7 linked regions of the Macaca fascicularis genome follow. The protein of the gene in region 4 interacts with the protein of the main gene of each other region in a pairwise test. Links are inferred from orthologs where the notes say so. Each region holds a gene or a part of one and is shown on either strand. Other genes may lie near its edges. The genes, in order: FASTKD3, NDUFB10, GFOD1, FAM9B, CEP95, POLL and MYG1.

Region 1 (4,287 bases), on a different chromosome or scaffold from region 4:
AGAAGTATTGTACTTTTAAATGACACTATGAAATGAACTTGTTAGAAATAATTCTGCCCTCCTCTTGCCACCAATGAAATTGGCTTCCAAGAACCCAGCTCCTAGCTACCGAGTACAATTAAAAGAAAGAAAATATGTTCACAGAATTAGTGGAAATTTCCTTTAACTATGGAGTTCCGGAAATATGTGGGTGGCCTTGATTCGAGATGAACGATGCCATCCTCTCAAAAAAAAAAAAAAAAAAATACAGTTGCTTACTCATCAAAAGTTCTAACATGTTAATGTGGCTATTTCCACTACCATCACTGTATCTCCTAAGAATGCTGCAATTTCTCAGATAAGGCAAAAGTCAGTTTATCTGAGACAGCTTTCCTCCCTTTATACGAGTTCCTAGCATGCTTTAACTCTGTGTTTATGCCAGCATCTGTCAACTTCAGGTCTCATCTTCAGATCACTATGGAAGAAAAACTAAAGGCAACACACTGCCTTTATATGTGACTTGAAACCATTGCCAATTCAAAGGTTAACTTTTTCCAACTGTCAGAATTTATAACCAACTCACCTTGCAGCCGTTGAAGGAAAAAAGGGTTGAATATTTTTGCCATAAAGTTGACTGGATGGCATTCATTCAGTGAACATGAATGAAGAAGTTTCAATAATGTTTCAGGTGGAAAATAATCGAAATGAGTGAATAGCACATTTTCCAGCTTTCTAAATAAAGCAGAGGCATTTGGTGGCAAATAATTGAGTTTCCCAAATGGTTCCATTAATGCAGAAATCTGACTAGGTGAAAATTTTTCTGATTGGCAAACAAAAGTTTCTGCCACTGCATTGAGGATGGGTTTTGAAAGAATCCGTTTTCTACCGCAGTACTCCATGACTCCGCAGACAACTTCAGGATCCAACGTGAGGCACACCGCAGCTACACGATTCTCTAGGGCTTTTGTGAAAAATCTGTCATGGTACCCAAAATACACGAACGCCTCCAAGACTCTCCTAAGCTCCTCGTTAGTGAAATATGGGACATGTCTCACGACATATCTGCCCAATTTTATGATCAGAGGAAATGCTTGACTTTGATCAAGAACCACCAGGGCAGTGAGCATTTGGCTAATCAATTTAGGACTCAGGCTGGAAACTATTGAAGGGGAAAAGTTGTTTATCTTATTTAAAAATGTTTGGTGTTCATCCACTTTTTCAGCACATGCCTGCAAGATTCTATAAAGGGCCACAATATCCTCTGGGGTAAATGTTTCCAATTTTTCACCTTGCAGTTGATTTATAATCAGTTCTAGTGTCACACAACCCGAACTGTGCAGTCTAATCAGACTCTCCCCAAGAACACAAAGATTGGGAACTTCCAGGCCACCTTTTTTGAGACGATTTTGGCATTCTGCCACCAGGTTCAGTAACAGGCTACTTTGAGGATCCACATGCAACAGAATCAGAGCTTGCAAAGCAGTCACCAAAGTAGTGTTTGACAGCTGTGAGGGTTCCTTTTCCAACTGAAAGCATAAAGCTTGAAAGATGCTATTCTCCAGTATTTCTTTTGACAACCCTTGATCACCATCCTTTTTTTCCACTTCACAAATTCGTTGTAAAGCTCCTGCTGCCATAGTGTCAGGCAGGGTTTCCATCGTGCTTATAAAACTTAGCACTTCTTCTGATGAAGTCAAGTTGCTCAGTCTCTTGTAAAACGTCTGACTCTCCCCATTTTTAACATTTTGTTCAAGCCTGACCCAGTCAGATATTTGAGAGAATACTGGCCCACTGAGTGGATGAAGGTCATTTCCATTTTTCGAATTAAACTTTTTACAATGGGCATGATGGAACCTGATCCTGAAAGGCTCAGGTTGTCGTGAACAGAACCAAGGGCACAGGCGCTCCTTGACTACCTTGTGAACATGATTTAGAGGTTGACTTTTCAAAGCAGCTCCATGCATCCGAAAATCAGATAAACGATAAAGGTTCTTCCTCAAGGTGATTAATGCCATGCCATCAGATTCTCAATTTGATAACTAAATTAAAACATTTAAAAAGACAAGGTTAAATACATTGAGAACATGATTGACCCAACATCAATGTTGAAACTACAAACGAGTACCAGGAAAAAAAAAAAAAAAAGGATGGATAACATATAAACACCAGAGGAGCAAGGTCTCTGCATCCTAGAATTAGAAAAGTGGCTGACATCCAACAATAACAATCGTTACTACTTGCTAAACACTTTCTATTAACTTACACAGATTAAGTACCTTTACCATCATTTTACATGAGGTAGAAGTTGAAGAGCAAAGTTACTTTGCCCAGTTTATGCAGGTGGTTAAGTGGCAGAGCTAAGTTTCAAACTCAGGCAATGTAGCTCTTAAGGGTGGCCCTTAAATGTTGGTTGAAGGAAGAAATTGCATTTGAATAGAAATCAAACAAAGAATAGGTAAAGTGGATGAAATTACGCAAGGTTAGAGCAAGGCAAGAGTAAAAACGCGCTGGAAAGGCCCTAAGCTGTTGGTTTCCCCTCGGTGTCAGGAGACAGGGTTGAGGGAAAGGGTCTACGTCGGCAATGGAAACAAAGTAGGAAAAGAAAAAGCACAACATAGACCAATGAAGGGAGAAGGTGTGGCGGCCAGTCCAGATCTAAAGACGCCGCGGGAGGATTTGGGAACACGAGTGTGCAGGACAGACAGGCGTGATGCCCCGGGGCGCGTCTTCCTAGGAATGAAAGGGACCCGCGGGCCGAGCACCCCCAAAACTCGGCGCCCCGGGGACCTGCGCTGAGACACGGGCAGGGTGGCGCAGCCTGAGGAGAAAGCCGATAAGGTCTGTGACACCCAGCCGGAGAGACCGCGTGGACACCTACCGCCCTCCGCCCGCCAATCACTCCGGGTGGCCGCGGAAGCGCCTGGGCGTCGTGGGCCACCGTAGTAAACGCGGGGCGGGGCAGGGCGGGGCGGGGCGGGAGCACGACTCACAGCCGCGCAATGTGATTGGCCCAGGTCCCTTCGGAACTTCCTATTGGTCCTAGGTACGGAGCATGGGCACTACGGCAGTGCGCACGGGCGCAGCGTTGGTGGAAGTCGCGCTGTGCAGGTGTGTCCTCGGGTGGCGCGGCGCAGGTAAAAGCGCTGGTGGCTACGGTTTCCGGATTCCGGCCGCTGGCCCCGTACTAATCCCGAGGGAAAGGCGGCCCGGGCTGGGGAGCGGGGGGAGGCAGCCGGCTTGCGCCCATGGTTCCCACGCCCCTCGAGCTCCGGGGATCGCCGCGGGGGCGGGCTCGGCCTCGGGCTGGGGCTTGGCCTTGGCCTTGGTTTCCCCGGAAGCGCGTCCCGGAGATCGGCGTCGATCTCTGCGCGCGGGGGCTCCTGGGTGGTGTGGGGCTTCTCCGCCTGTTCTTTGGTTCCAGGCACTTTCTAGGACTAGGGAAACCGCACTCGGGGACGCGGGGAACGGGGGAACGTGTCGGGTTGGGGCGGCGCTCTCCGGGGAACCGGGGATTTTCCGAGAGCCCACCTGGCGGGACGCGGCAGTGAGCTCTGCCCACCGCCTCCGCGCCGCCCCTGGGGCTGCTGGGGCTCCGGCCTCCTTTGAGAGTAGTGGGAACGTGGTGCCGGGTTGTGGGGCAGTAGCAGGGCTGAGGGGTTGATTGATCCTGGGAAGTCCTCAGGATGTGTGTGTTTCATGGGAAGTGATAGAAATTTTAGCTGTAGTAAGATTTTCATCATCGTTTCCGCCGTTTTCTGTGAGCTGTAAACGTGTAGTGTTTTCATATTGTTCATTTACTCTTTCAGATAACTTGTCGAGTACCTGTTTTGTGCCAGGTGCCGTTCTGGGCGGTTCATTCACGAAAAGCCAATATTTTGGTTTGGGTTTCAGTTTAAATCTGCCTCCACAAATTGACAGCCCACCAGTTTTAGCCATTAGATGAGTAAGGAAAAAAAAATCTGTGAGTATCGTTTGTTTTACTGCTACTTATCTCTTCAGGAAAAACATGTGTTAGTAAAATGTTTTAAGTGGATTGGAAGTATTTTTTCTTTATATGCACCTGTATGTAATATGCCCATACACTCATGTATTTTTGATTTCCATTAAATACAGAAAAGGTAACTGATGTGCTTCAGTTACCTTTAGTACTATGATTAGTTTCTTTAGCATTAGGATCAAATAGGAACCAAGAATCCTATCATTTTAATATAATTTTTGCTTTTATATTTTTTAAGAAAGGGGACACCAAAATGTATTTAAGACTGTTGGGAATGATACTGTGCCTCAAGTTTTGTTCAGGTTCTTTTC
Region 2 (4,390 bases), on a different chromosome or scaffold from region 4:
CTGCGGATGTGGGGCCAATAGATCACACCAGAAACACAGGCAGGTTGCAGGACTTTATTTCAGCAACAGTCATACAGAGCCACACAGCAGGCGCACCCACAGATGCCTCAGGAGGTGGCAGCGGCGGCCTCTCTTGCAGCTTTTCTCTCTTCCAGCATCCTCTCCTTCTGTTTGGCCAGGCACTTCCTGGCAGAATAGTGGGCCCCCAGGTCCTGATCTGAGAAAGCAATAGAAACAAGCTGGGAACCCAGGCCTCTGCTGCATGCAAAGGGGGGGCAAAGTCAAGTGGGCAGAAGTGAGGGGAGGGAGGAATCGCAATGGTTCTGGCCCCCAGGCCTCAGAAGGATGGGAGGGGGAGGTCACGCACAGCGGTCCTGGTAGGCCTTGGCCACCTCGGTGAACTGCTCCACTTCCTTGTTGCAGTTCTGCTTGTAGTTGTGTCCTTCCCTCTGCTGACAGGCCTTGAGTCGAGCCTGTATAATGTTGACAATTTCTCGGTCGACTTGGCTGGGGGAGAAAGGGAGCAAGAGAGGCTAATCACCAGGAATCCTTTCCCTGTACCCCTCGAGAACAATTGAAATCAAGAGCCCTGGGGTCTGGCTCCTCCCATGTCAGTCCTAAGATCTGGGCATGCCACCCTGTGGAATCCCAGGGACCGGTGGCCCAGCTGCACATGCTGCAGATCTCCACACTCCCAGCGTGGCTCACGTACTAGTCCCTCCTCCACTGCATTTCAGCTTCAAACAAGCACAAGATATCATTCTCCTTGCACTCAGTGATGTCCGGCACACGGCGGTACTGCCGGTGGTAGTAGTAATACCTGTTCTTCGCATGCTGCCGCTCTATAAATTCTGCAAAGACAAAACCACAGACTCACACCTCATTGGTTTGGACAAGCTTTTAGCTTTCTAGTTCTCATAGGCCCCTTGGAGGGGAGGGAGGAGAACTTCCTGAGTGTTCCAGCGTTTAGAAAACAGGCAATTCGGCCGGGCGCGGTGGCTCACACCTGTAATCCCAGCACTTGGGGAGGCCGAGGCGGGCGGATCATAAGGTCAAGAGATCGAGACCATCCTAGCTAACCCGGTGAAACCCCATCTCTACTAAAAAAAGCAAAAAAATTAGCCGGGCATGGTGGCGGGTGCCTGTAGTCCCAGCTACTCAGAAGGCTGAGGCAGGAGAATGGCGTGAACCCTGGAGGTGGAACTAGCAGTGAGCCGAGATCGTGCCACCGTGCTCCAGCCTGGGTGACAGAGCGAGACTCCATCTCAAAAAAAAAAAAAAAAAAAAAAAAAACCCGGCAGTTCGTCTCTCTATGAGGTGTGGCCGGCCAGGCAGGCCTGTGAAGGCCTAGGCTACAGCTGATGGAGAGCTCCAGCGTACCAGGCATCATCCTCAGAGTTCCACATGCATTACCTTACTCTGTCCCCCACACACGCCTACAGGCAGCGGCTTCTCACAGACAGCACTGACTGTGACGAAGCTCTGCCGGTGCACCTCCCCCAGCTGCACAGGGACCCCTGTGGAGTCCTGCGGGAGGACTGGGTGCGCAGAGGTTCCAACAGGGAGCCTCCAGCAAGCAGAACTTACCACCTTACAGCCTCAGCTTCCTCACTGGGAAATGAACAAGCTAAAAAGAGAGCTCGAACATCCAGACACATAGGACAGACATGTTCTAGGACTGCTACAAAAGAGAGGGAGCTGGGTCAGCTGTTGCACGGTTTACAGATCCTTGGGGGTTTGATTTGCAGACTTCATCCTTTTACAAGAGAACCACCAGAGCATGCTATGCACCCCAAGTGTTCAAAAAGAACTGAACCAGGCTGGGCGCGGTGGCTCAGGCCCGTAATCCCAGCACTTTGGGGGTCCAAGGTGGGAGGATCACCTGAGGTCAGGAGTTCGAGACTAGCCTGGCTGACATGGTGAAACCCTGTGTCTACTAAAAATATAAAAATTAGCTGGGCTTGGTGGTGGTGCACCTGTAATCTCAGCTATTGAGGAGGCTGAGGCAGGAGAATCGCTTGAACCCGGGATGGCGCAGAGGTTGCAGTGAGCCGAGATCGCACCACTGCATTCCAGCCTGGGCAACAGAGCGAGACTGTCTCAGGGAAAGAAAAAAAAAAAAACACTGAACTGGGCATTCTCCCGGTTCGTTCCAGAGATGGTGAATGTGGGCATCTCGGCCATCACCCTGACACTTGGTCATCTGGCAGGTCTATAACAACCCCCAGGATTCAGATGCTTCCCTGTGCAGACCACCCCTAACATTTGAGAGAGGCCTGAGGCCAGCGGTGCGGTGGAGGGGTTCCCGGCGCGGCGGGGGCAGAGAGCAGTGCGGGGTCCTGGAGCAGTGGGTGCTGGGTGCGGCAGGGAGGGAAGAGTCCTGGGAAGGAGCGGGGCGTCCCGGGGTGCAGGGGAGAGTAAGGGATCCTAGGAGGTGAGGTCCGGGGTGCAGTGGGAGGCCAAAGTAGGCGACGGAGCTCGGGGGTCTCCGGGGGTGGGGGGTTGTCCCCGGGGTGCAGCGGGGGGCGGTCTCAGGGAGACGGGACCCCGGGGGCATTGGAGGATCCAGGCAGGGTGTGGGATCCAGGGGTCCCCAGAGGCCGGCGAGGGAGCCCCGGGCTGGGGCCTCGTACCTCTCACGAGGGTCACGGGTCGGTCCACGATGAGGTCGAACGCCTTCGTCATGTAGACGACGGGATTGGGCAGCCAAGTCTGCGACGACAGCACCGGCGTGCGGCGCGGGGGCTCAGGGTACACATCCTTGTCCCAGCTGTCCGGCATGGCGGCGGGAGGCGCGAACCCCGCTCCCTGACGCGCTGCCCTTGCCTCTACCTCTGTCCGGGTCCCGCGGCCTAGGTCGCCAGCTACAGAGGACGCCGAGGGCGGCTGCGTCTGTGCGCTGGCGGCCGCGAGGCACTATGGGACTTGTAGTTCCCCGACTCCGCCAGGCGCGGCCGGGACCCGCCTCGCCGCAGGGCGCCCCCGTGTGGGGCCTCCGTTCTCGGTCTCTGCCGAGCGCCTGCGCGGTGCTGGTCACTGGTCTGGGAGCCTGGGAAGTAGGCGCGAACCGGACAGATCCCTGCTTACAGTGAAAGAAACAGACAATAGCCAACAGACATAAGGAATAGGAGGGAGTCATTCGGTTCCCACTGCCCGCCAGGCACTGTGCTGAGTGCAGCAGGGAAGAAGATAAACAGCCCGGCTGTGATGGAGAACACAGGCCGTTAGAGCATACACGACAAAGTCAACAAATAACACGCAATTCCAAACTCCCTACTCTTCTAGGAAGCTTTCCTGGATTGCCTACCCCGTACAGAATTCCCTGGGCCCCGCTCTCTACCAGGACCCCTGGTGAGACGGGGTTTCACCATGTTTCTGGTCTCAAATTGCTGACCTTAGATGATCTGCCCACCTCAGCCTCCCAAAGTTCTGGGATTACAGACATAAGCCACCGCTCCCAGCCAAACTCTTGGAAAGAAATACAAACCATGAGACCCAAACAATCTTGACATTTTAGTAGTCTAGAATCTTAGTATCTATTGATGTAAGAGTCACAGATGTTAGAGACATCGTAGGCCTGAAAAACTCTAAAATTCCACTGCTATAGAACTTTACAACCGGCTGGGCGGGGTGGCTCACGCCTGTAAACCCAGCACTTTGGGAGGCCGAGGCGGGTGGATCACCTGAGGTCAGGAGTTTGAGACCAGCCTGGCCAATATGGTGAAGCCCCATCTCTACTAAAAATACAAAAATCAGCCGGGCATGGTGGCACGTGCCTGTAATCCCAGCTACCAGGGGGGCTGAGACAGGAGGATCGCTTGAACCCAGGAGGCAGAGGTTGCAGTGAGCCGAGATTGTGCCACCGAACTCCAGCCTGGGCAACAGAGGGAGACTCTGTCTCAAAAAAAAAAAAAAAAGAACTTTACAACCATAGCATCTTTGAATTGAAAGAGATTTCGAGGGGCACAGTGGCTCACATCTGTAATCCCAGAACTCTGGGAGGCCAAGGCAGGCAAATTGCTTGAGCTCAGGAGTTTGAGACCAGCCTGGGCAACATAATGAGATCCCTGTCTCCATAAACAATACAAAAATTAGTGAGGCATGGTGGTAAGTGCCTGTGGTCCCAGCTACTTGGGGGGGATGAGGCAGGAGGATTGCTTGAGCCCAGGAGGTTGAGGCTGCAGTGAGCTATTACTGTGCCACTACACTTCAGCCTGGGCACCAGAGGAAACCCTGTCTCAAAAAAAGAAAGAAAGAGAGAGAGAAAGAAAGAAAGAAAGAAAGAAAGAAAGAAAGAAAGAAAGAAAGAAAGAAAGAAAGAAAGAAAAGAAAAAGAAAGAGAGAAAGAAAGGGGCCGGGCGTGGTGGCTCAAGCCTGTAATCCCACCACT
Region 3 (4,436 bases), on a different chromosome or scaffold from region 4:
GATATTTGAAAAATAAGAACAGAAGAAGTATCCAGAAATGTCTAATTTGTGTCACATCTCTTGAAACCAGAGCCCCCAGATACTTTCATGGCCAACTTCCCAGAGACAGCCAGAAAACAAGGTCATCCTTGTTCCCCAAATCGCCACCCTCCTGCTCTAGGTTTGCTCTGTGGGTCTGTACCCAGGACAGGAACCACCATCTCTATGGTGGAGAAACGAAGTTACAACATGGTCTTTCAGATATGACCAGTCCTAAGCTCTCCAGTATACCCAGGGCTCATGAGGGACCAGTTTTGTACAAACTGCACTAATAGAATTATACCACAAGATGGTTATAAAATATTTAATATGCAAAGAGCCAATGTAAACAAGGGAGTTATCCACCCAATACACATGTTCCATCAAACAGAAAATAAATATTGGCCAGACTCAATGGCATTCAGTTCAAGGCCAAAGAAACAGGCCACAAAGGGCAGACACTTAATAAAATTAACTGACAATTAAAACTGACAATGTGAGCAGCCTCCTTAGGAATTCCATCAGATGTCGCATCTGAGTCAACAGCCAAATGGCCTGATAAAAATGCCTTTCTATGGAGAGTTTCTACATTCTGTTCAGAGCTCTTCGAAGGCAGAATTAAAACACATATATATATTTCACCCACCCTGAATCCACACCTATTTTTAAAAAATAAAACAGTCTTTCCAAGACTACATAACTTCCGGTTGGTTTCTGGATGGTCTCTGTTCCTTGGCAGTTCCTCCCTTCTAATCTGTTCTACTATTCGCTTCATCTGGTTATAAGCTTTGTTCTTGTTATAAGCTTTGTGTTTTCCTCACCAATAGAAACTTCAGCTTTCAAAGGTGAGCTGCTAATTTTCTTGGAATTGTAAGATCAAGCAAGCTTCCTGGGATTGTTTTAGGTTATATGTAAGAACTGATGATGAACAAAACATGCCCTTCTCTTTCCCCTGAGCATGGGCTAAGAGGTTGCTACTCTGTGCTCAGAGATTGTTCAGACTGCCTGGGAGTTGAGGGGAGCAGGGACCAGATGGTGAGGCACCCTGAACTCATCTCCGGCCCCCGCGGGTCAACACTATGCCTTCAGAAACTATTCCTGAAGGCGATTAGCGAGGGCCTTTTCTGATGCAAAGCGTCCATGACTCTGGAGCTACTGCGCCCATCCCCGTAAAAATTTAAAATCGATTACTCCAAACTGTGGCAGAAGACATTTCCCGGAAGGCTGCATTCAAAAGTTAAAACCCCTGGTTTTATCAAATCAGTCTTTACTAACCTATGACGCTTCTGAAAACATTCTAAATCATCACCCCCATCCAACCGCTCCCATCATCCTTGCCTCCAGCGCAGACGAAATAATTCCAGCCGATGGTCACACCTCCAATGTCACGCTAAACTAACTCACAGCAGAAAGAAACAAACGACCCCAACAGGGCGCCACAGTTGCTGAAGGGCAGGTCCTCTGTCGAACCCAAGAACCCCGAGACACGTGTGCGGCCCTTTATTCAGGCGTTTCTGGGCGCGCACTCGCGTCTCCCAGGCGCGCGCGCGCACACACACACACACTCACACACACACGTACACGACACACACAGCTGAGGACTAACTTTCCTCTTCTTGCGGAGCACCCCATCCCCTGATATCGGCATCTGATCTTCCTAGTTCGGATCCCCGGAACACACTCCTCCTCCAGCCTGCCAGCCACACACGTGGGGAAGCGCGTCCAAGTGGTGCCAGGAGGCAGGAGGGAAGTGCAAAGGTGGGGAAGGCCCGGGACAAGGAAGGAGGGAGCTCTGAGTCGGATCTGGGATCTCAGATCCATGGGGCAGCGTAGATGCAGGGTAAGCTTCTGGGACACGGAAAGGGAAAGGCAGCGGGGAAGGAACCCAGGGAAGGTTAAAGGGCGGGTGTGGGACGGAGGATTCAGGGTAGGGGTCGCTCACCTAGGGTTTTGACAGCGATCTGTCTGGTGAGAGGCGGCGGCAGGTTAATGCACACCAAGTCCACGTCCTGATGTAGCAGCACCTCATCAATGCGGCTAGTGTAGAAGGGGACACTCATCTCCTTGGCCAGCTCCTCCGCTTCTTCCTGCGTGCGGCCCCACAGCGCCTTCACCGCGAAGCCCTCGTCTTTTAGCAGCGGGATGATGACACGGGCCGTGAGGCTGGTGCCGAACACGCCCACCCCGGGAAGCATGGCTGCTCAGAGCCGCCTGGTTCTGCTTCTACTCGGATCTCCAGTCCAACACGCGCACACACCCACCTCCAGCTAGTCCTGCACCCGGCTCCTGCAGCCAATCTAGCCGCTGTGCGCCAGCCGCCGTGCACCGGGCAAGGCGCCCGGGTGCCCAGCGCGCACCGAGCTGCAGGCGGAGCAAGCTCGGGGCGCCTCAGTACGGTGACTGCGGCAGTGTCCGCCACGCGGGGCTTGCGTCCTTCCCGGAGTCGGCGACAGGGACCCCCCCAGGGCGCCGGAGGCTTCGAAGCCCCCTGGAGCCCCGGCTCAGGCGGCGTTCGGGCGGCAGCGCCAGTCCGCTGCGTGCGCCCAGCCAAGGCCGCTCCATGGCCGGCTCATCCCCGCGGCCGCGCCGCCGCAGCCCGGGACCGTCTCTCTCCCGCGTCGTTTGCGCAGCCGGCGAATCGCACACACAAACGTCTACACCCTGCCCCAGAGTCTGGGCACGGACCCGCTCCGCTGGGGAGTCTCCTTTATCCCTCGCCCTCCGCTCGGAATGAAATAATCCCGCGACCGCCAGGAGGCCGGCTAAGGATGCGGCCCGGAGCGCGCCGGACGGGGATCTCAAGCTGCAGCGCTGCAGCGGCTGCCACGACCCGGCGCCAGCCTCCTCATTTTGCTGCCATGTTCGCTCGCCTCGCGGCTCGGGCGGCCTCGGCCCCAGGCCGGCTCAGGCTCCGGGATCCCGCGGGGACGAGGGCGGAGTTGGCGAGTTTGGCTGTCAGCGGCCGGTGTTCCTGCACCGCCCTCACCGCAGCGCCGCGCGCCATTGGCCGCCGCGCGCCGCCCCCGCCCCCGCCGCCGCCAGCTCCGGGTGCGCGCTGCGCCGGGGCCCTGGGAGCCCAGCCCGGCTCCTCCCCGGCCCCGCCTCGCTCGCCTCCTGCCCCTCCGCTTCTTCCCTTTCTTTGCCCTCACCATCTTCTTCTCCTCCCTGCTTCACTCCAAACCCCGCCCCAAGCAAGCAAATAAATCTATCTAGGCAGGGCGCGCCCCAATAGGTTAGTCGCCTGTCCCTTGGAAGAGAGCAGTGGGCGCCTTGGCCTGGGGGCAGTGAGGGGACCCGGCGAGGTGCGAACAGCCGGTATTAACAACCTCGGTCCCCGGAGCGTTACCTGCGTGCTGAGCATCATACTGAAGCCTTTCCAGGCATTGTCCCTTTTAGTCCTCGCAGCAACCTAAGGTTATTGGAAACCCATTTTACCAGTGATGTAAATGAGTCCCAGTGAAGGCTAAGGGACTTGCGCAAGGTGACATATGTAAGCAACAGGCCTGCGATTGGAATCCAGGCCCCAGAGTCTGGGCATGGAACCGCAGACTTCTCCGGTCCCCTTCCAAGCTAGCCTGCTCCAATCGCGCGCCCCCGCTCCGGCCGCGCACGCAAGGTTCAGCCGCCTTCTTCCCAGACAGTCCAGTCTTGGCGGGCTCCCATCTGCCTCCCACCTCCCCTGCCCCTAGGCCCGTGCCCGCCGCCGCGTAGAGGCTGTGGTCTGGACTGCCGCAGCGGCGCAGGGGTCTCCGAGGCCGCTGCGGCGCGTGCGTCTCGTGTCTAGGTTTCGAGACGGATATGTCGCCCTGGCCAGATGCCACGCCCGCTTCTTGCTTCGGCTCCTGTTGCCATCGCCACTTCCAGCAGCCTTTACTTCTCCCAGCTTGCCCCCACCTCGACCCCCCTGCACCCTTGTCAGGCCCTCGAGGGGGGACTGAGGGGAACTGGCCAAGGCTGGCCCCGCACCTCTGGAGCCGTGGGGACTCTGCGTCTGTCTGGTTTTCCACCATATCCTTGGCACCTGGCACACTGCCTGCCTGTATGTAGTAGGCCCTCAATAAACATTTGCTAAATAAATGAATGCATATTCATCGAATGCCCGCTTCGCACCCATTTGATGCCGGGAGCGGGGACTAAAAATTGAAAGGCACGTCTTCTAGCTGAAGGTCTTTGGAGAGGTCATGGGTCAGGTCATGTTCATCTCCTGTCTTCAGCACTGGGCTCAATGTCTGCCGCAACACGAGTGGAAAACGTGATACTTGCAAGCGTTTAAAACAACTTGTAACAACTGGCAGTGAGGCGGGGCGCGCGTGGAGAGAGCAGGATATCAAAAAAGCTGTGTGTGGCAATGCGGAGTGGAGGCTGACCTAGGGCATTAGAAGAAACGCACAGGCCGGGCGCGGTGGCTCAAGCCTGTA
Region 4 (4,268 bases):
TTACATACAGTCTCCATCTATAACGCCCAATGTATTAGGCAGCTCACAAAACCGGCACTTTTTGTCACCAAGCAGAGCAAAGCTTTCCAAATATACTGCTTGTATGAATCATCGCTATCGAAGAGCTGAAAACTGAATTGAGCTTTTCAAAAGTAAGAGTATTGTCTCCATCATCTTTACAGAAATTTTCTCAAACTTTTTTGAAAATATGGTCCCTATAACAGTGCAACTAATATTTCACACAGCAATATAAAGTTTATGAGTTTTTGGATCCAATTACATGTTTCTCACTAGATAGAAAAGTTGTCCTTACTTTTGTACTACACAGTTTATTACTGGAATAATAATAGAAAATGATTTTAGAGAATTCAATTTTCTCTTGTACTTCAAATAAAACAAAATCAGAAAGCTGTGACAATAGAATAGCTAAATTAAGAACATGAAAAACTCTTATTAAAAACTCTGAGTACATATGGACAGGAAGAAGGGACCAACAGACAACTGGGCCTACTTGAGAGTGGAGGGTAGGAGGAGGGTGAGGATCAAAAACCACCCATCAGGTACTATGCTTATAACCTGGGTGACAAAATAATCTGTATACCAAAACCCTGTGACATGCAATTTATCTATATAACACACCTGCACATGTACCCCCAAACTTAAAGTGAAAGCTTAAAAAAAACCTGATATATGACTTAATCTGCGTACACTAAAAGGAACGAATAGAGCTATTTCTCCTCCAATGTCCTCTAATATTCTCCAAACAATTAAATTTCCACGTGTATGAAAGAAAAGCCATCCATCTCGCTTCACCATTATTAGAAGCATTCTCACATTCCACATCAACAATCAAAGAGGTAAGAAAAATTTATCAAACAGATTACATTAAATACGTATGTTAAATGCTACATATGATAAGCCATTTAAGACAGTCTTGTCATCCACTGATTCATATAACTTACTGCAACAGTTGCATGATTGAAAACAATTTTCATAAACGACAGATAACTCCTAAAATATACCTGCAGTATCTTCTGGCTTCTTGGTATTAGCCCTGTAAAAAAAGTTACATCAAAATTTTAGCATAATACTACACAAAATGCCATGTTTGTTGGGAAAAGAAATGTCTTATGTGAAATGTTCTGCACAGAATAGAACAGTGATGACATGGTCCAAAGGTGACTTTTCCTAAAAGACCCTATCCGACAGGCAAAAGTGACTTAAACACTTTACCCCGTGTGCTCGTCTTTTTCAGCAAAAGGTTCTCTTTCCCCATGCTCATCAGTTACATCTTCCTCCCTTGTTTCTGTAAAAGGGTTTCTTTCCTCACATTCGTCACTGACTGGATCCTTTCCTGCATTAAAATTTAAAAGACAAACCTTTTTTAGAGGAAGACACTGTTGTGGACTTTTTTTGTGGAGAAATGTACTAGTTGTAGACTTTTTTTTTTTTTTTTTTTTTTTGGCTATCTGCCAATTAAGGCTTTAAAGCAGAGCTGTACATGGAATCACCGGCTTCTGACCATTTTATCAAGGCACTTTTGGAAGCCCTTCGGGTTCAAGTCCCAGTAAACAACGTACTACACGTCAGACCCCTTGGATGTCATGACTGCACTCATGGAGAAGAGCTGCTCTGGGAGCATCTGTAACCCCGCTATGAGGGGAGCCTTTTACGGGAAGCCTAAGGCCCTTGAGCCTGCTTTGAAAACCTGGGGCATCTTAGCACGTGCACGATGGACTCCAAAGCCACGAAGGGGCCCGGGTCCTTGGGCTACCCCTGTGCCCCCAGCGCAGAAAGCAGACAGACCGTCCTCTTGGGCGTGCACTTTCTTCCGGGTCACCTTGGGCTGTATTTACCTGCACGCTCCTTCCCCTGGGCCGCCATAAATTGAGCCTCCAACTGGGCCTTGGCAGCCCTCCTGCCCACAGGATCCGTGGCTGGCTGTCCTGGGAAGCTACAGGTGATCCCTGAACCTGATGAGGGCAAAGGCACACTAAGGAAGCAAAGGAACCCTGGCATCGGAAAGGAAAGCCATTGGGATCACAGGTTTAAGAAGGGTGGGGCTGGCACGCCCTGGGCCTCCTGTGGGAGCAGGAGGGGACCGAAAAGATGCCAGTGTCCCCTCCTGTCCTGGCCCGTCCAGCCCGTCCAGCCCGTCCCCGGGGCTGGCTGCAGAGCTCACAGCTGCCCCTCACACCTGAACTCCACGGCGTCTGCGGGATCCTCGCCGCACCTTTGGGACAGAACTCAGCCCTACCTCTGGGTCCCCCAGCGACCCCGTGTGGCTGGGAGGGCCACCGGGTGACACAGGATCTCCCCAGCCACCTCCAGAGGAATGTCAGGGGCTGCACTGTCACTCACCCGCCTGGATGCACAGGGGACCCCTGATGACCCCAAGTGTCCTGTCCTGACGGGAGGCCGGGCAGGAGGGCCCCACTCAGACTGTCCCCAACAACACCCTCGCCCCACCCCCACTTCCCCCCACCTTCCGCACCTCCCCCCAACACATGCACAAGCCCTCCTGGGCCCTAGGGATCACCCAGGCGGCTCCAGCTCCCTCCCTGCCCTGGCCCACCCCAGCCCACCCTCAGGGCCTCGCCCTGACCCAGGCCCCAGGCGACCACGCCAGGGGCATTTCCTCACAGGTCAGCGGGCGGCCCAGCGCTTCACACCCTGGTTCCCAGAGGGCCTCGTGCCTGCGTTTCCGCCTCCCCACCGCGAGCGCTTCACCTGAGGGACCCCTGATGTGGCGCCCTCAAAGAACCTGCAGACAACAGCACCACTAGGATCTCTTAGAAAACGGGTCCTCTCAGGAGGCTGAGGCAGAATGATTGCTTGACCCCGGGAGGCGGAAGTTGCAGTGAGCCCAGATCGCGCGGCTGCACTGCAGCCTGGGCGGCAAGAGCCAGACTGTCTCAAAAAACAAAAAACAAAAAACAAAAAAGAAAACAAGTACTCAGTTCTCGTGAGAGCTGCCGACAGCACTTCCTACGCTCCTCGCAGATTGGTCGACTCAGTGCACATGCGTGTGACAGGCCGTGTGGGGCCACGCCCCCTGCTGGCACGCCCTCCCCCTTCCCCTAAGTGACAGCAAGTGGTTGCTGTGGACTGAGGTGGGGTTGGCCCTTTGGGGCCTCTGTTCCCACATTCTTTCAGCTTCTGCTCCTGGGGAGGGACACAGGACTTGGTATGGAGGCCAAGTGGACAGGGCCTAGAACCTCGCCCTGGGGCTCTTTCCAGCCACCCCTGCCCCTTTGGCTAGAATGGCCATCATCCTATGGGTTGGGCCCAGGCTCCCTCCCATGCCCTGTGTGCTTCCAACATGCCCAGCTGCATCCTTTTCAATCAATGGATTGTGCTTTTATTGTTTTTGTTTGTTTTTGAGACTGTGTCTCACTCTATCGCCTAGGCTGGAGTGCAGCAGGGTGATCTCAGCTCACTGCAACCTCCGCTTCCCGGGTTCAAGTGATTCTCCTGCCTCAGCCTCCCAAGGAGCTGGAATTACAGGAGCCCAACACCAAGCCCTGCTAATTTTTTTTTTTTTTTTAGTAGAGACGAGGTTTCACCATGTTGTCCAGGCTGGTGTCAAACTCCTGACCTCAGTTGATCTGCACGCCTTGGCCTCCCAAAGTGCTAGGATTACAGGCATGAGCCACCGTGCCCTGCCCATAACCATTTTTGTTTCCTCACTACTTTTCTTTCTCATCCTCATGCCCCAGACTTGCCCACAAACCCTCATGCTCCAGACTTATCCAGACATATGCCACAACCTTCACCCACAAATTAATGCCTTAATACTTATCGTTAACTCAGCTTTTTCCCACCTCCAGTCGCCTATAATAGGGGGAGAGTTGTTTTGGAGTTAGGAGTAAATAAATATTGCCTAAAGTTTGTAAATCAAGATATAGAGTTTCATTATATTATTGAAATTATATCCCAGCACTTTGGGAGGCTGAGACGGGCAGATCACAAGGTCAGGAGATCGAGACCATCCTGACTAACACGGTGAAACCCTGGCGACAGAGCGAGACTCCACCTCAAAAAAAAAGAAAAGAAAAGAAATTACAAAGGCAGTCATCAGGAAAACTAATCCACAGCCTTAAATGTCTATATAACCAAAAAGAGCACACACAAAGAACACAAATCCTGTAGTAAAAGTTGGAAAATAAAGAAAATACTCCAGAGACCATAACATAAAGGAACAAAATTAAGGCCAAGTGAATCTGTTGAGCAAGAAATATGAATGAGATAAACTCAGAATCTAAAGG
Region 5 (4,286 bases), on a different chromosome or scaffold from region 4:
ACGCTGCCATTTTGAGCTCCTCCGCCGGGCGGAGTAACAAAGGCGCCGCCGCCATGTCCAAGGCCGGCATTTTATACCCGCGACTCAGCCACATGGCTGATGCCGGCCGCCCTCCTACCCCCACAGCACCAGTGGCTTTGGAGGTGGTCCCTTCGCTCCCACAGAATGCCCGACCACCCCAAAAACACCTCCCGAAAGGCCGCACCTAACAGCTGTTCCTTCGTCTGCCTCGAAGCGTCGCGCTTTCATCCGAACAATGCGCTCCCTCTGAATTCCCTCAACAGCTACCAAATGGCAGCCGCCCCGACGGCTCCCCGACCCCCACACAAAAAGCGAGGATGAAGACACTATCCCGTCAAATCTCTCCCACTCACTGTTACGTGAATATCAAAATGGCGCAAGCCTTCGGGAAAGGAGGCCCCAAGATAGCCCGGAAAGGCCGAGTCCAAGCCGCAAAGCCCCGGCCCGCCGCCACCCTGACCCGCCCTCCCATCCCCCACCCGCCAGCCCTGACAACTCGGCTCCCACACTCACCCTCGATCCCGGCCGCGGTCTCGGTCACTCGAATAACCCGACATAGCGTCAATGGTTGCGGTTGGCGGGGAACGAAGTAGATAGAAAAGGGTGCGACGAGTCGCTGGAAATGGCTTCGGCGACGGCGAAGCCTTGCGGGGGCGGCAGCGGAGGAGTGACGGCGATGACACCAGCCAAAGCTGCACACCTAGAGACCGGTGGAAATGAATGAGGTGCCGGCCGCTTTCCGGCAGCCGCTTTTATAGTCTGGACCTCCTCCTACGCCGCAAGGCACGCTGGGAGCCGCTCTATGACCTAATCGCCCCGCCCCTCGCGCAGAGGCCGCAACGCCCGCCGGCGTTCCGCGATCGCCGCGCTTTCACCCCACCCCGTGCCGCTCTCTCAGGTCAGGGCCCACCCACCATTGAAATGCCTCATTCTCCACTCTCTTGACCTCACCTTCTTCTCGTCTTTCCACACCTCAAGAAAGCCACCCTGCCCTTTCCCAAGCCCAGCCAGACGATAAAACAGCCAGCCCAAGCCCGCCCACCCTCCCCACTCGGAGGTGTTTACGTCTCCAAAGAGCCCTCACGCCTGTAACCAAATGAGAGGGAAGGCGGGGGCCTGGCGTTGTCACGTGACGTTACCCCCCCACCGCCCACCGTGACAGGGGGCCGCACTACTTCCCCGTTGACGTCGGCGGAGGGATACATAACGAAATAGCTCACCGGAAGTGCGCTGCCAGCACCCGGGACCCGCCCCCAGCTGCCGGCTAACTTGGACCGTCCGACCCACGGGTCTGACAATCCTGTGACGGGTTTTGGCCGGCGGAGAATGGTCTCTAAACTTCCCAAACCGCTTCCGTGGCACGTGCTGTGAAAGGAAGTGCTCCTCTGATGACCAATCAGCGGCGAGAAGTTCTTTTAACGTCCCTCCCTCTTTCACGCCTCCTTCCCCGCGCTTTAGTTCGTGCGCCCGCCCCCCAGCGTCTGCTCTGCGTTCGGTCCTTGCAGGACACCGTCGCCGGTCTGGCAGCGTCGGAGTCCGGCGGCGACCTGCTTCCGAGACATGGCCCGCTCGGAGGCTGGTGAGTGTTTCCCTGGGGTCGCGGTGTGTGTTTACTGAAACTGTCCACCTTCAGGGAGGCCTCGGGCTAGCCCGGACTGGGTCTGGGGTGTCGGCGGGGCTCGTTACTGTCAGACGCTGCGTCGCGGTGGCGGGTTCTCTGGATAGGGTCTCTCAGCTTCACCCCCTCTTCGCTTTGAGGCCGTGGAACAGCAGTATGAGGTGGGAGAGAGGCACTGGGGCGAGGCCGGTAGGACGCTCGGGTCCTGGCTGCAAAAAGAGCAGTCAGAAGGGTCGTCCTCGGACTTGTCTTTCTGTGGGGCGTCTAGCCGCTGTCCATGTGCCCTCCTCCCTTGCACTATGGGCCCTGAGGTCGTACCTCCTTTTGTAGTGGTCTTTAAAGGAACGGCACTCTTAAGGTTTATTCATGCCCCTGCCACAGAAGAATAGTGGTGCTTTTTTCTCTTCAGTGCCCTCTAGAGTCATGGGCTTTGTCTAGCACCGCTTTTGAAGAGCGAATTAATTTGGTTGTCTAGGACGCTTTCATCCTTTTCACTAGGACTGCGTACAAACCAGTTGTCATGGTTTGGCCAGTTGTGAGAAATGGGCTTGGAGAGGGGGGATTATGTGCCTGGAAGATACACTCTCATTCGTTTCCAGAACGTCATGTGTCCAGAACATAGTGGAGATGTTTGTTTCTAATATCGATTGCCAGTGCTTTCCTACCAATCGTCAGGCATTTCAAGGAACAAGTATTTTAAGCTAAGTTGCTTTTGGTAGAGAAACTGTTAAACTTCGCAAATCCCAGCAATATCTAGGGGAGAGGAGAATGTGGTATGCAGGAAACGTCAACAGTATTGATAATTCTGAGCTTCATGTACTTCCAATATTTTGTTTCATGTAGATCAATATAATAAAAAAGAAAAACTAAGAAATGCATTAGTGTTGATGTTGTCATTATGCCAGTTCTTAACAGCCTAAGTTTAATCACCACTTATTTGGGCACCAGAGAAATCCTGACTTGCACAAGATAATTGGGTAAACACATGACCAATACTGTTGGGAGTTTGAAGCAACATATTTTATTAATGACTGTCTAGTAACTTCAGATTATTATTAAACTGTTGCTTATGACATAATATTCCTGTTTACTTGTAAACATGTTTTAACTAAAAACACCCACGTAAGGCTTATATAAGTAACTTAAGATTTTAGGCTGCAACAGTAACAGTTGAATTTGCAGTATAGTTTTGACTGTATAGAAATTACAGCACTCTGGAAATCATCCCAAGAAATTAAATACATCTTTTTAAAAATCATGCCTAACGGGTCTTTGAAATTCTATAACAATCAAATTCCCTATCTTCTACAAAGTTCAGTGTCTTTTTTTTTTTCTGGGTGGGGAGGTTGTTGGATTTTTTGAATGGGTGTGTGATTTTTTTCTGGTGGTATTTAAGACTGATCTTTCCCCCTTTTTCCCAACAGAGTGGGTAACCATTGCCAATAGCCTTCTTTTTAAGTGTCATATACATCTGAGAATACATGAACTTCAAGACTGTGATGCTAATGTTTTTATTGCCCTTTATCAGTCTATTTTGGGAGAAAAGGTACCAGGTAAGACTACTAAAAGCAGGAGTAATTTTGCCTATATCTTAGGTCAGAAGTTTTTGGTCCTTTAGTTAGATGCTTTGGTATTTATAACATTTCATTTTCTCTTTGCCTATATATTTTTTAATATTGCATATTAAATTATATATTAATATACAATATTTAAATATCGTATATTAAATGGTATTTAATATTGCGTATTGTCTAATTATATTATATTCCTTAAGGAATACCCTGTGGAATCCACTCAATAATGGCCTTGAGCAGATCAGTTTGAGGGCTCCTGATAATCACTGGTTAATCCAATCATGGCTAATGCCTTGTGAAAGTTGCATCCTTTCTGAAAATGTACCTTCAAAGGTTGTAAAATTGAGTGGAACTTGGGAATTTATTGGATCCTGTCACTTAACCAGTGTTAGGGGTAAGAATTGATATTTGTACTTGATGAACCTAATTTACCAAGACAGTTAATAAGCGTATATATCCTTTCATCTTGCTCCCCATCTCACTATGTTCAAGAACAGGGTGGTACCAACTCAGCTTAAGTGATTCTCCCCTGTCTGCCTCCCAAAGTGATAGGATTACAGGCATGAGCCACCATGCCCAGCCTGTACTGACATTTTAAATCTTTATACCAATAATTCCAGTTGGCTACTCAAAAGGACATATAAGGGCCGGGCGTGGTGGCTCACGCCTGTAATCCCAGCACTTTGGGAGGCTGATCATTTGAGGCAGGTGGATCACCTGAGGCTAGGAGTTCAAGACCAGCCTGGCCAACATGGCAAAACCCCGTCTCTGCTAAAAATACAAAGATTAGCCAGGCATAGTGGTGCACGCCTATAATCCCAGCTACTTGGGAGGCTGAGGCAAGAGAATTGCTTGAGCCGGGGAGGCAGAGGTTGTAGTGAGCCAAGATCACGCCACTGCATTCCAGCCTGGACAACAGAGCGAGACCCTGTCTCAATAAATAAATAAACAAACATACATATATATAAAATAATCTTCCAATGCCTGCTGTGTTGTTTTTTTTTTTCCTCTCGTAGAAAGCAGCCCATAGTTATGGGTTAAAGTATCATGTCTTGGCTCCCTTACTAGACTAT
Region 6 (4,295 bases), on a different chromosome or scaffold from region 4:
GGAGGAGGAAGCGCTGTCTGAAGCAGGGCCTCATGGGTGCCAGGAGGAAGAGAAGCATCCTGCTCTGCCTTGCTGGGCTGTGACTGGTCCAAGTACCTGTGGGGATGGTGATGGGAGGTTAAGACACCAAAGGTCTCACCCTGTTTCTGTCCCCAGTCCTAATGTATTCTGAAATACTTGGTTTCCCAGTGTGTCCAATTAAGAAAATGAGTTTTTTGAGGTTTTTGGAGTTTCTCTTGAGATAGGGTCTTGCTCTATCACCCAGGCTGGAGTACAGTGGTATGATCAAGGCTCACTGCAGCCTCAGCCTCCCTGGCTCAATCAATCCTCCCACCTAACCCTCATATAGCTGGGACTACAGGCATATACCACCATGCCTGGCTAATTTTTAAATTAATGACAGTTATTTTTAATAATTCAAGAAGAGAGCTCAAGATGCTACTAGAAAACATTGGAAAAAAAGACTGGGATCAGCCCACCTACTGGGGATGAAGATGCTGAATCCAGCTACATCCACCAGCCTCCTCTCCTGAAGGCACAAGCTCAGCCAGGCTGACTTCACCAGCTGAGCACCCGGGGGCAGCCGGGGTAGTCTGAGAAGGCGGAGGGCTCGCTCATAGTCCATGCCTTCATCCACCACAATGTGAGTGACACCTGGGCCCTGGACAGGGCATAACTGGCCACCATGCTGAACAATCTGCTTCTCAAAGAGTTCTGCCCGGGCTCGTCCAATGCCAGTGCGCACAACATGGGCCCGAAGGGAGCTCAGCCACTCTGGGGAAGGAACATCCAGATGACTACTGTCATAACTTTTTAATTTTATCTGCCACCCCCTGGCCACAACTTCTAACATGATCTGAATACAACTTCTAACATGATCTGAATGACATGTTCACAGTCCCCTACCCTGAAAATAAGCATTTGTCTTCCATCCAGGCAGGTTTCCTTCTATATACAGCAAATTTTCTCACAGGCCAGTACTTGAAAGTAAGGGACAAGGATTTTTATACGTCCTGTTCCTTGGTGCAACCTAGAAGTGTCTGGCACATTGTAAGTAACCTGTAAATATCTGCTGAATGAATGCCTCCTCCCTTCTTACTTTGTTTTTGTTTTTGTTTTGTTTTTTTCGTTTGTTTGTTTGGAGACAGTCTCACTCTGTTGCCCAGGCTGGAGTACAGTGGCGTCATCTTGGCTCACTGCAACCTCCATCTCCCGGGCTCAAGCGATTCTCATGCCTCAGCCTCCCAAGTAGCTGGGATTACAGGCATGTGCCACCATGCCTGGCTAATTTTTTGTATTTTTGGTAGAGACGGGGTTTCGCCACATTGCCCAGGCTGGTCTCGAACTCCTGAGCACAGGTGATCTGCCTGCCTTGGCCTCCCAAAGTGCTGGGATTACAGGCATGAGCCACCGCGCCCAGCCTCTCTCCATACTTTGAATCCTTTATCATTTATTCTTTCAACAATGCACATTTCTTGCCCTTACACTCTGACAGACCCGACAACCCTGCCTCCAAAGCCTCTGCTATTTATTTATCAATTTGGCTGCAAAACAACTAACAACAATCCTGGGTAATGGAGGGGGGTTTCTGTCCCAGTCCCCCAGGGCAAAAATTATACTGGTCATTCCCTGAGGGTCCAGGGAGTCTTTTCCAATTGATAGGGGTGTTCAGGTAGAAAAGAAGATAACACAGCAAATGGCCTGTCCAAGACCCAGGACCAAGCTTAGTACAAGGCAGATACAAACAGACCTGCAGTCCATGGACAGGCAGAGTCAGCTCCAATATCTGATTCTGGACATGAACAACATAGGGCTGAAGCACATGAAGGCTGAGGGTTCAAGCGCATGAGGGTTCTGAGAGTGGGTCATCTCACCTTCTGCTTCTTCTCCCTCTTCCTTCCTGGGAATCTTTGCAAGTACTTTTGATGATGCATCAGCATGAATTTTCTTCCGTTTGGGAAACGCCTTCAAGATACCCCTGGGATCCATTGAAGTACGGCTGCATCCCAGCCTGTTGGAGGGTTGGTCAGGGCTGCTGTCAGGTGGAAATACAGAATTAAGGATCTCCAACCCCTTTGCCTATGGAGGTAGGGGGTAGCAGCCCAGTTTGGGGAAGCGGGAGGTTGGGGGGGATCTCTTCAAACCCCGTTAAACTAGCTTTTTAGCCTAGCTTCACACTCCCCAGTCTTTCAAAGTTGGAGTATTAGGGGAAATGAGGGGAAGGCTGGAGCCATCGGGGGTACTTTTAAGGAGTAGGAAACTATACCCATTCCTCAAAGGGGTTGCTCTAAAGATTCAGCACAGCCCTCCTGCTGCGGCCCACTTCGAAGGGCTTTACCAAAATGGGATGCTGGGCTAGGAAATGGAGCTTTAGGGGATGGAGCGGAGACTGGGGAGGACCTGCACATAAACTCCACATACTCTTTTTCTCCAACACAGACTTGCAGAGGAAAACCTGAGGAGGCGGACTTTCGCGGGTGAGTGGGAACGCCCTGCACCTGCCCTGGTCTCAGCCTCTCGACATGGGGATGCTCAGCGCCGCAGCTGCGGGGAGATGGGGCACGGCCGCAGCAGGTGTGGGGAGCCCTCCGGGAATGGAGGAGTCTCGCAGCTGGGGGTGAAGACCCGGGCAGGTGTGGTGTACTCGCCCTGTACGCAGCTGGCGCAGGCCAGGGAATCCCAGCTCGGGGCTAGTAGAGAGTTGGAGTGCCCAACCCCGGCGCCAAGAGTCTCTCTCCAACCGCCAGAGTCAGTCCCTGGGTGCGGTCGACAACAGGCCAAGTTGGTCACCCGAGGGTGGGCAGGAGTAGGCCACTTACCAGGAGAGCCAATGAGAACGGACGAAGGGGGGAAGGAGGGCAAATGCCCAGAATAGCTTCCGAGTCAGCCGGAAGTGACCTTCAGTGGAACGGTTGCCATGGCAGCGGCCGGGCGGGCTGCTTAGCAGAGGAAAGATGGCGGTGACGGGCTGGTTGGAGAGTCTGCGGACAGCCCAGAAGACTGCACTGCTGCAGGACGGTAACTCGAGGGTCCCCGCGAGCTCCTTCGTTTTTTTCCCCCAGGGTCCGGCCCTCCGGGAAGGGCCTCAGGGCCTGGGTCGGCAGAGCTGGAAGGGTCTCGGTGGTCAGCCGGGCCAGGTCCTGCATTTGCGGATGAGGAGACTGAGGCTCACAGAGATGACATGACCAGAACACATGTCTCCGGACACCCCTTAAATTTCTCTACACCATCTCGCCCCGCTCTGAGTTCTGTTGCTAATATAGTAATTTCTTTTACATTCGTTATCTCATTTGCTCCTCACCACTGTCCTGAGAGGCTAATTTTCCACCCCGTTTTACAGAAGAGGAAACTGAAATCCAAGAATGTTTTAGACTTTAGAGAGGAGAGAGGCCTGGGCTCTAGTTCCGACTGTGCCATTAATTCACCACGGGCTCTCCAGTTGGCACCTTTACTTGTTTGGGCCTCACTTTCCTCATCTGTAAAATTAAGTGGATGGACTACCGTTGTTATCTCTGAGGTCCTTTCCAGCTGTAATATTTTTGTTAAGTGAACCTCTAAATGTTTTCTGTGTCTTAAGGGGAGCTAGAGCAAGGACCAAGGGCTGTGCATGGAAGAAGTGGGCACAGGGGCATGGATATCTAACTTTTCCTCACCCTAGGATTGGCCGATGTCAGCCCCCTGTGCACTTGGGTCCTTTCTGGACCCACTGGGTAACCAGGATGAATTGTGTCTGAAGTTCCTGAGACTTTCAAGATAATAGCTGGTGATTCACATTCACAGGCAGAGGCCAATCAGGGAAGCCTGGAGTTTGTGGAAATTAAAATCATTTACTCGTTCGTGCAACATTTAGGGAGGCTTTTACTATGTGCCAAGCTCTAAACTAGAACAGAAAGAAAAAGATATGTTGTCACAGGACTTGGACTGGTTGGGAAAAACATGTATTTAAGTAATAAGATGTGTTAAATAGAGGTTGTAGTCTTGTATAAAATGGTAGGAAAGAGTGAAGGTGTAAGCGACATGTCTTTGGAAGAAGACCCAACAGAAGTGATGATGTTTCTGGGTCCTGAAGAATTAATAAGGCCAGGCACAGTGGCTCACGCCGGTAATTCCAGCACTCTGGGAGGCTGAGGCGGGTGGATCGTTTGAGCTCAGGAGTTCGAGACCAGCTTGGGCAACATGGCCAAACCTCATCTCTTCAAAAAATACAAAAATTATGGCCAGGTGTGGTGGTTCACGCCTGTAATCCCAGCACTTTGGGAGGCTGAGGTGGGCGGATCCTTTGAGGCCAGGAGTTC
Region 7 (3,045 bases), on a different chromosome or scaffold from region 4:
CAGGAGTTGGATGGAGAAGCTAAGGGCCTTGGCTGCTGTATGGCTCTGCCAGATGGCCCTTCTTTGGGCCCAGGCTCTGATCCTTTTCTTTCCCTTCTCTGCAGGGCTGGTCCACAGGCCGAATTGCTCACATCCCGCTGTACTTTGTCAATGCCCAGTTTCCACGTTTTAGCCCAGTGCTTGGCCGGGCCCAAGAACCCCCTGCTGGGGGTGGAGGCTGTATTCATGACCTGCCCCTCTTTACTGAGACATCCCCAACCTCTGCCCCTTGGGACCCTCTCCCAGGGCCACCACCTGTTCTGCCCCACTCCCCACATTCCCACCTCTAATAAAAAATAAGTTTTCCTTTTGTTTTCCACTCAGTTACCAGTCTGTCTTTTCCAGGGAGTTGCATTGGGGTAGAGTAGGGGGAAAAAGCATGGACTTTGAGTTAAGGCCCTGTTCTGTCACTTTTTAGCCACTTGTGAATTTGGTCACATTAACCCTAGAAACTGTATGGATTCAAATGCTTTGGAAAGCAAGACTGAGAAGTTACTGTGAAGAAAATATATCTAACACAGGGTCTTACATATAAATAGTTGTTTCACTTTTCACAAGTTTCCAGAATGGTGTAGGGCAAGAATGAGTCAAGGACTGGGTCAGTATGAGGTGGAAGGTTTTATTACACTAGGACATTTGTGGGAGGTATGAGCGCTGGGCCAATGTGGCACGGGCCATGTTCAAGGCACCCTCTCGGGTGCGGTGACCGCCAATGAAGCCACTTGCATGGACGAAGATGCAGCCAGGGATCCCACTGACCTGGTCCAGGGCCTCGTCCCGAAGACCCCGCCATGGCTCTGGTAGGGGCAGCCTACAAGCGGGCAGAAAGAGGGAGCAGAGCAGAGGTCAGAATTGGCAGCCTTCTCTTAACAAGGCTGAGACAGGCCTGAAGGTCAGTAGGGTGGTTCCCTAGGGCTCACCGGCTTTGGAATGAGTGGGGCTCCTTGGGCACAGACTGTACTCGCCACTGTCCAGCCTGGTCAGTGTAGATAACAAAGATGATGGCCACTGGAGGGGACAGCCCAGATTCCAGGTGGTAGAGATGCTCCTTCCAGGGACATCCACCTTTCGCCAGTTCCACAATCTCCCCACTTGGGTCCACCTGAAAGAGGGAGAGGATAGCTAAAAGGTTTAAGGTAGGCTGGGCATGATGATTATGCCTGTAGTCACAACACTTTGGCAGGCTGAGGTGGGAGGATCAATTGAGCTCAGGAATTTGAGACAAGCCTAGGCAACAAAATGAGACCCTGTCTCTACAAAAAATACAAAAATCAGCTGGGTGAGGTGGCATGTGCCTGTAGTCCCAGCTACTCAGGAGGCTGAGGTGGGAGGATTGCTCGAGCCCAGGAGGTTGAGGTTGTCTGCCACTGCACTCCAGCCTGGGTGACAGAGAGAGAGAGATCCCATCTCAAAAAAAAAAAAAAAAAAAGAAAATGTTTAGGGTTTAGGGTAGAAGCAGGAGCACCTGTTGATTGGCAGTCAGTAATCCCCAAGCCACAATGCCTCCTCCAAGGCCTATACCTGGAATCGCTGGGCAAGGGCCTCTTCCACCAAGGCCCGGGCTGGCAGCCAGCTGTGTTGGTAGAAATCTAATCTCTGCAGAAACTCCTCTTGAACCAGATCCATTGCACGCTTGAACCCTGCCTGGGAATGATGAGAATCAGAACCAGGGTGCTGGCGCAAACTTGGAATTTGCTAGGGCTTAGGAGGAATAAATGCTCCCATTTCCCCCCGCCCAAGGTTCTTACAGGTCTCAGGGTTTCCTCCCACGCCACCTTACCTCAGTGTCTTGGTCAGGCTGGTTCCAGGTAGGATTAAGTCGAGCAACTCGTGCACTCAGGGTAGTGGTCAGTGCATATCGAGGCTCCCCCTCTGCCCACTGGGAGATCCCATTGTCCACGGCATCCACCTCCTCCACAAAGTTCTCATACATCTAAGGCAGCAGCAGGGGAAACTTTCTTGAGGCTACCTACTATTTATGTGAAGTCTTAACATGATTCAAAGTATGTTCATACACACTCAGCCCTGTGAGGATCTCTCAACATAACTGGATGAGAAAAGGGAGAACTGGCAAGTTCAGCAGCTTGCTGAAGCTCAGGAGTCTCACTGTGCTGTGACTGGAATTCAGATCACCTGGTTTCTAATCCATGCTCATTCTGCTGCACAAAGCCCAAACCAAAGCCAACAAGTGTGGGGAGGGGACTGCTAACTTTTGAACAAGGAAGAGGGTCTTCCAGGTGCTAGAGGGTCTCTGTGGGAGTGGGTCCCTGTGGTTGAAGGCTGGTAAGTCTCCAGGTGGGGTGAGTAGGTATTCAGTGACATGGTTAATGAGGTGCAGGAGGGGCTCTGGTTGAGAACACAAGTCAAGAGGGAGAAAATGAGTCTGAGATTAGACACCAAAAGCTGGTTGCTGGGTTAGGGTTCCAGGGAAGCCCATAATGTGCCACATGACATCAGCAGTTGTCTCCTGGGTCTGAATAAATGGTAGGATAATGCCTCAAGAGTCTCGGGGCAGAAACTTTATGCAAAATTGCCCGACAAAATAGGCCTCCATAACACTACACCTGTGGTATGTAGAAAAGTGCTACTCTCAGAGCACTGAGAAAGTAACTTCTATGCCCAGCACTTCTTGGTTTGGACCCCAACCTGATGCTCAGTTAAAACATGGGTTTAGGCTTAGGTGGGAGGATCACTTGAGCCCAGGAGTTTGAGTCCAGCCTGGGCAACGTAGCAAGACCCTCTCTACAAAAAATTAAGACATATCATTAGCCAGGCATGGTGGCATGCACCTAGAGTCTCAGCTACTTGGGGGGCTGAGGTGGGAAGATTGCTTGAGCCTAGGAGTTCAAAGCAGCAGCAAGCCATGATGGCACCATTGGACTCCAACCTGGGCAACAGTCTCTCAAAAATAAATACATAGGCCGGGCGCAGTGGCTCACGCCTGTAATCCCAGCACTTTGGGAGGCCGAGGCAGGCGGATCACGAGGTCAGGAGATCAAGACCATC

What was found.
Region 1: the proteins of FAM9B (region 4) and FASTKD3 interact in binary tests that used the Homo sapiens proteins (3 or more experiments, as listed by UniProt). The two-hybrid records come from large-scale screens. The link is inferred for Macaca fascicularis from reciprocal best matches to the Homo sapiens genes FAM9B and FASTKD3.
Region 2: the proteins of FAM9B (region 4) and NDUFB10 interact in binary tests that used the Homo sapiens proteins (3 or more experiments, as listed by UniProt). The two-hybrid records come from large-scale screens. The link is inferred for Macaca fascicularis from reciprocal best matches to the Homo sapiens genes FAM9B and NDUFB10.
Region 3: the proteins of FAM9B (region 4) and GFOD1 interact in binary tests that used the Homo sapiens proteins (3 or more experiments, as listed by UniProt). The two-hybrid records come from large-scale screens. The link is inferred for Macaca fascicularis from reciprocal best matches to the Homo sapiens genes FAM9B and GFOD1.
Region 5: the proteins of FAM9B (region 4) and CEP95 interact in binary tests that used the Homo sapiens proteins (3 or more experiments, as listed by UniProt). The two-hybrid records come from large-scale screens. The link is inferred for Macaca fascicularis from reciprocal best matches to the Homo sapiens genes FAM9B and CEP95.
Region 6: the proteins of FAM9B (region 4) and POLL interact in binary tests that used the Homo sapiens proteins (3 or more experiments, as listed by UniProt). The two-hybrid records come from large-scale screens. The link is inferred for Macaca fascicularis from reciprocal best matches to the Homo sapiens genes FAM9B and POLL.
Region 7: the proteins of FAM9B (region 4) and MYG1 interact in binary tests that used the Homo sapiens proteins (3 or more experiments, as listed by UniProt). The two-hybrid records come from large-scale screens. The link is inferred for Macaca fascicularis from reciprocal best matches to the Homo sapiens genes FAM9B and MYG1.

The regions. Positions count from the first base shown.
Region 1 is NC_088380.1:8,145,678-8,149,964, forward strand, and holds the start of FASTKD3 (FAST kinase domain-containing protein 3, mitochondrial), read right to left. Parts: upstream 2,898-4,287; 5' UTR 2,858-2,897; intron 2,019-2,857; 5' UTR 1,995-2,018; coding exon 563-1,994; intron 1-562. UniProt on the Homo sapiens protein: Required for normal mitochondrial respiration. Increases steady-state levels and half-lives of a subset of mature mitochondrial mRNAs MT-ND2, MT-ND3, MT-CYTB, MT-CO2, and MT-ATP8/6.
Region 2 is NC_088394.1:2,722,046-2,726,435, reverse strand, and holds NDUFB10 (NADH dehydrogenase [ubiquinone] 1 beta subcomplex subunit 10), read right to left. Parts: upstream 2,869-4,390; 5' UTR 2,782-2,868; coding exon 2,634-2,781; intron 852-2,633; coding exon 713-851; intron 508-712; coding exon 368-507; intron 218-367; coding exon 108-217; 3' UTR 41-107; downstream 1-40. UniProt on the Homo sapiens protein: Accessory subunit that is involved in the functional assembly of the mitochondrial respiratory chain complex I.
Region 3 is NC_088378.1:159,456,986-159,461,421, reverse strand, and holds the start of GFOD1 (glucose-fructose oxidoreductase domain-containing protein 1), read right to left. Parts: upstream 2,942-4,436; 5' UTR 2,214-2,941; coding exon 1,961-2,213; intron 1-1,960.
Region 4 is NC_088395.1:8,685,442-8,689,709, forward strand, and holds the start of FAM9B (protein FAM9B), read right to left. Parts: upstream 3,016-4,268; 5' UTR 2,731-3,015; intron 1,974-2,730; 5' UTR 1,885-1,973; coding exon 1,857-1,884; intron 1,355-1,856; coding exon 1,234-1,354; intron 1,055-1,233; coding exon 1,023-1,054; intron 1-1,022. UniProt on the Homo sapiens protein: May play a role in meiosis.
Region 5 is NC_088390.1:71,097,689-71,101,974, forward strand, and holds the start of CEP95 (centrosomal protein of 95 kDa), read left to right. Parts: upstream 1-1,486; 5' UTR 1,487-1,581; coding exon 1,582-1,600; intron 1,601-3,062; exon of another isoform or gene 3,063-3,063; coding exon 3,064-3,192; intron 3,193-3,418; exon of another isoform or gene 3,419-3,501; coding exon of another isoform or gene 3,502-3,607; intron 3,608-4,286. Other genes in the region: probable ATP-dependent RNA helicase DDX5, read right to left, coding at 535-578.
Region 6 is NC_088383.1:110,560,453-110,564,747, forward strand, and holds the start of POLL (DNA polymerase lambda), read right to left. Parts: upstream 2,874-4,295; 5' UTR 2,820-2,873; exon of another isoform or gene 2,422-2,819; intron 2,036-2,421; exon of another isoform or gene 2,012-2,035; 5' UTR 1,990-2,011; coding exon 1,875-1,989; exon of another isoform or gene 1,848-1,874; coding exon of another isoform or gene 1,751-1,847; intron 775-1,750; coding exon 480-774; intron 97-479; coding exon 1-96. Other genes in the region: protein DPCD, read left to right, coding at 2,955-3,018.
Region 7 is NC_088385.1:60,106,387-60,109,431, reverse strand, and holds the end of MYG1 (MYG1 exonuclease), read right to left. Parts: intron 1,973-3,045; coding exon 1,820-1,972; intron 1,684-1,819; coding exon 1,561-1,683; intron 1,142-1,560; coding exon 960-1,141; intron 851-959; coding exon 667-850; 3' UTR 645-666; downstream 1-644. Other genes in the region: AAAS (aladin), read left to right, coding at 105-329. UniProt on the Homo sapiens protein: 3'-5' RNA exonuclease which cleaves in situ on specific transcripts in both nucleus and mitochondrion. Involved in regulating spatially segregated organellar RNA processing, acts as a coordinator of nucleo-mitochondrial crosstalk.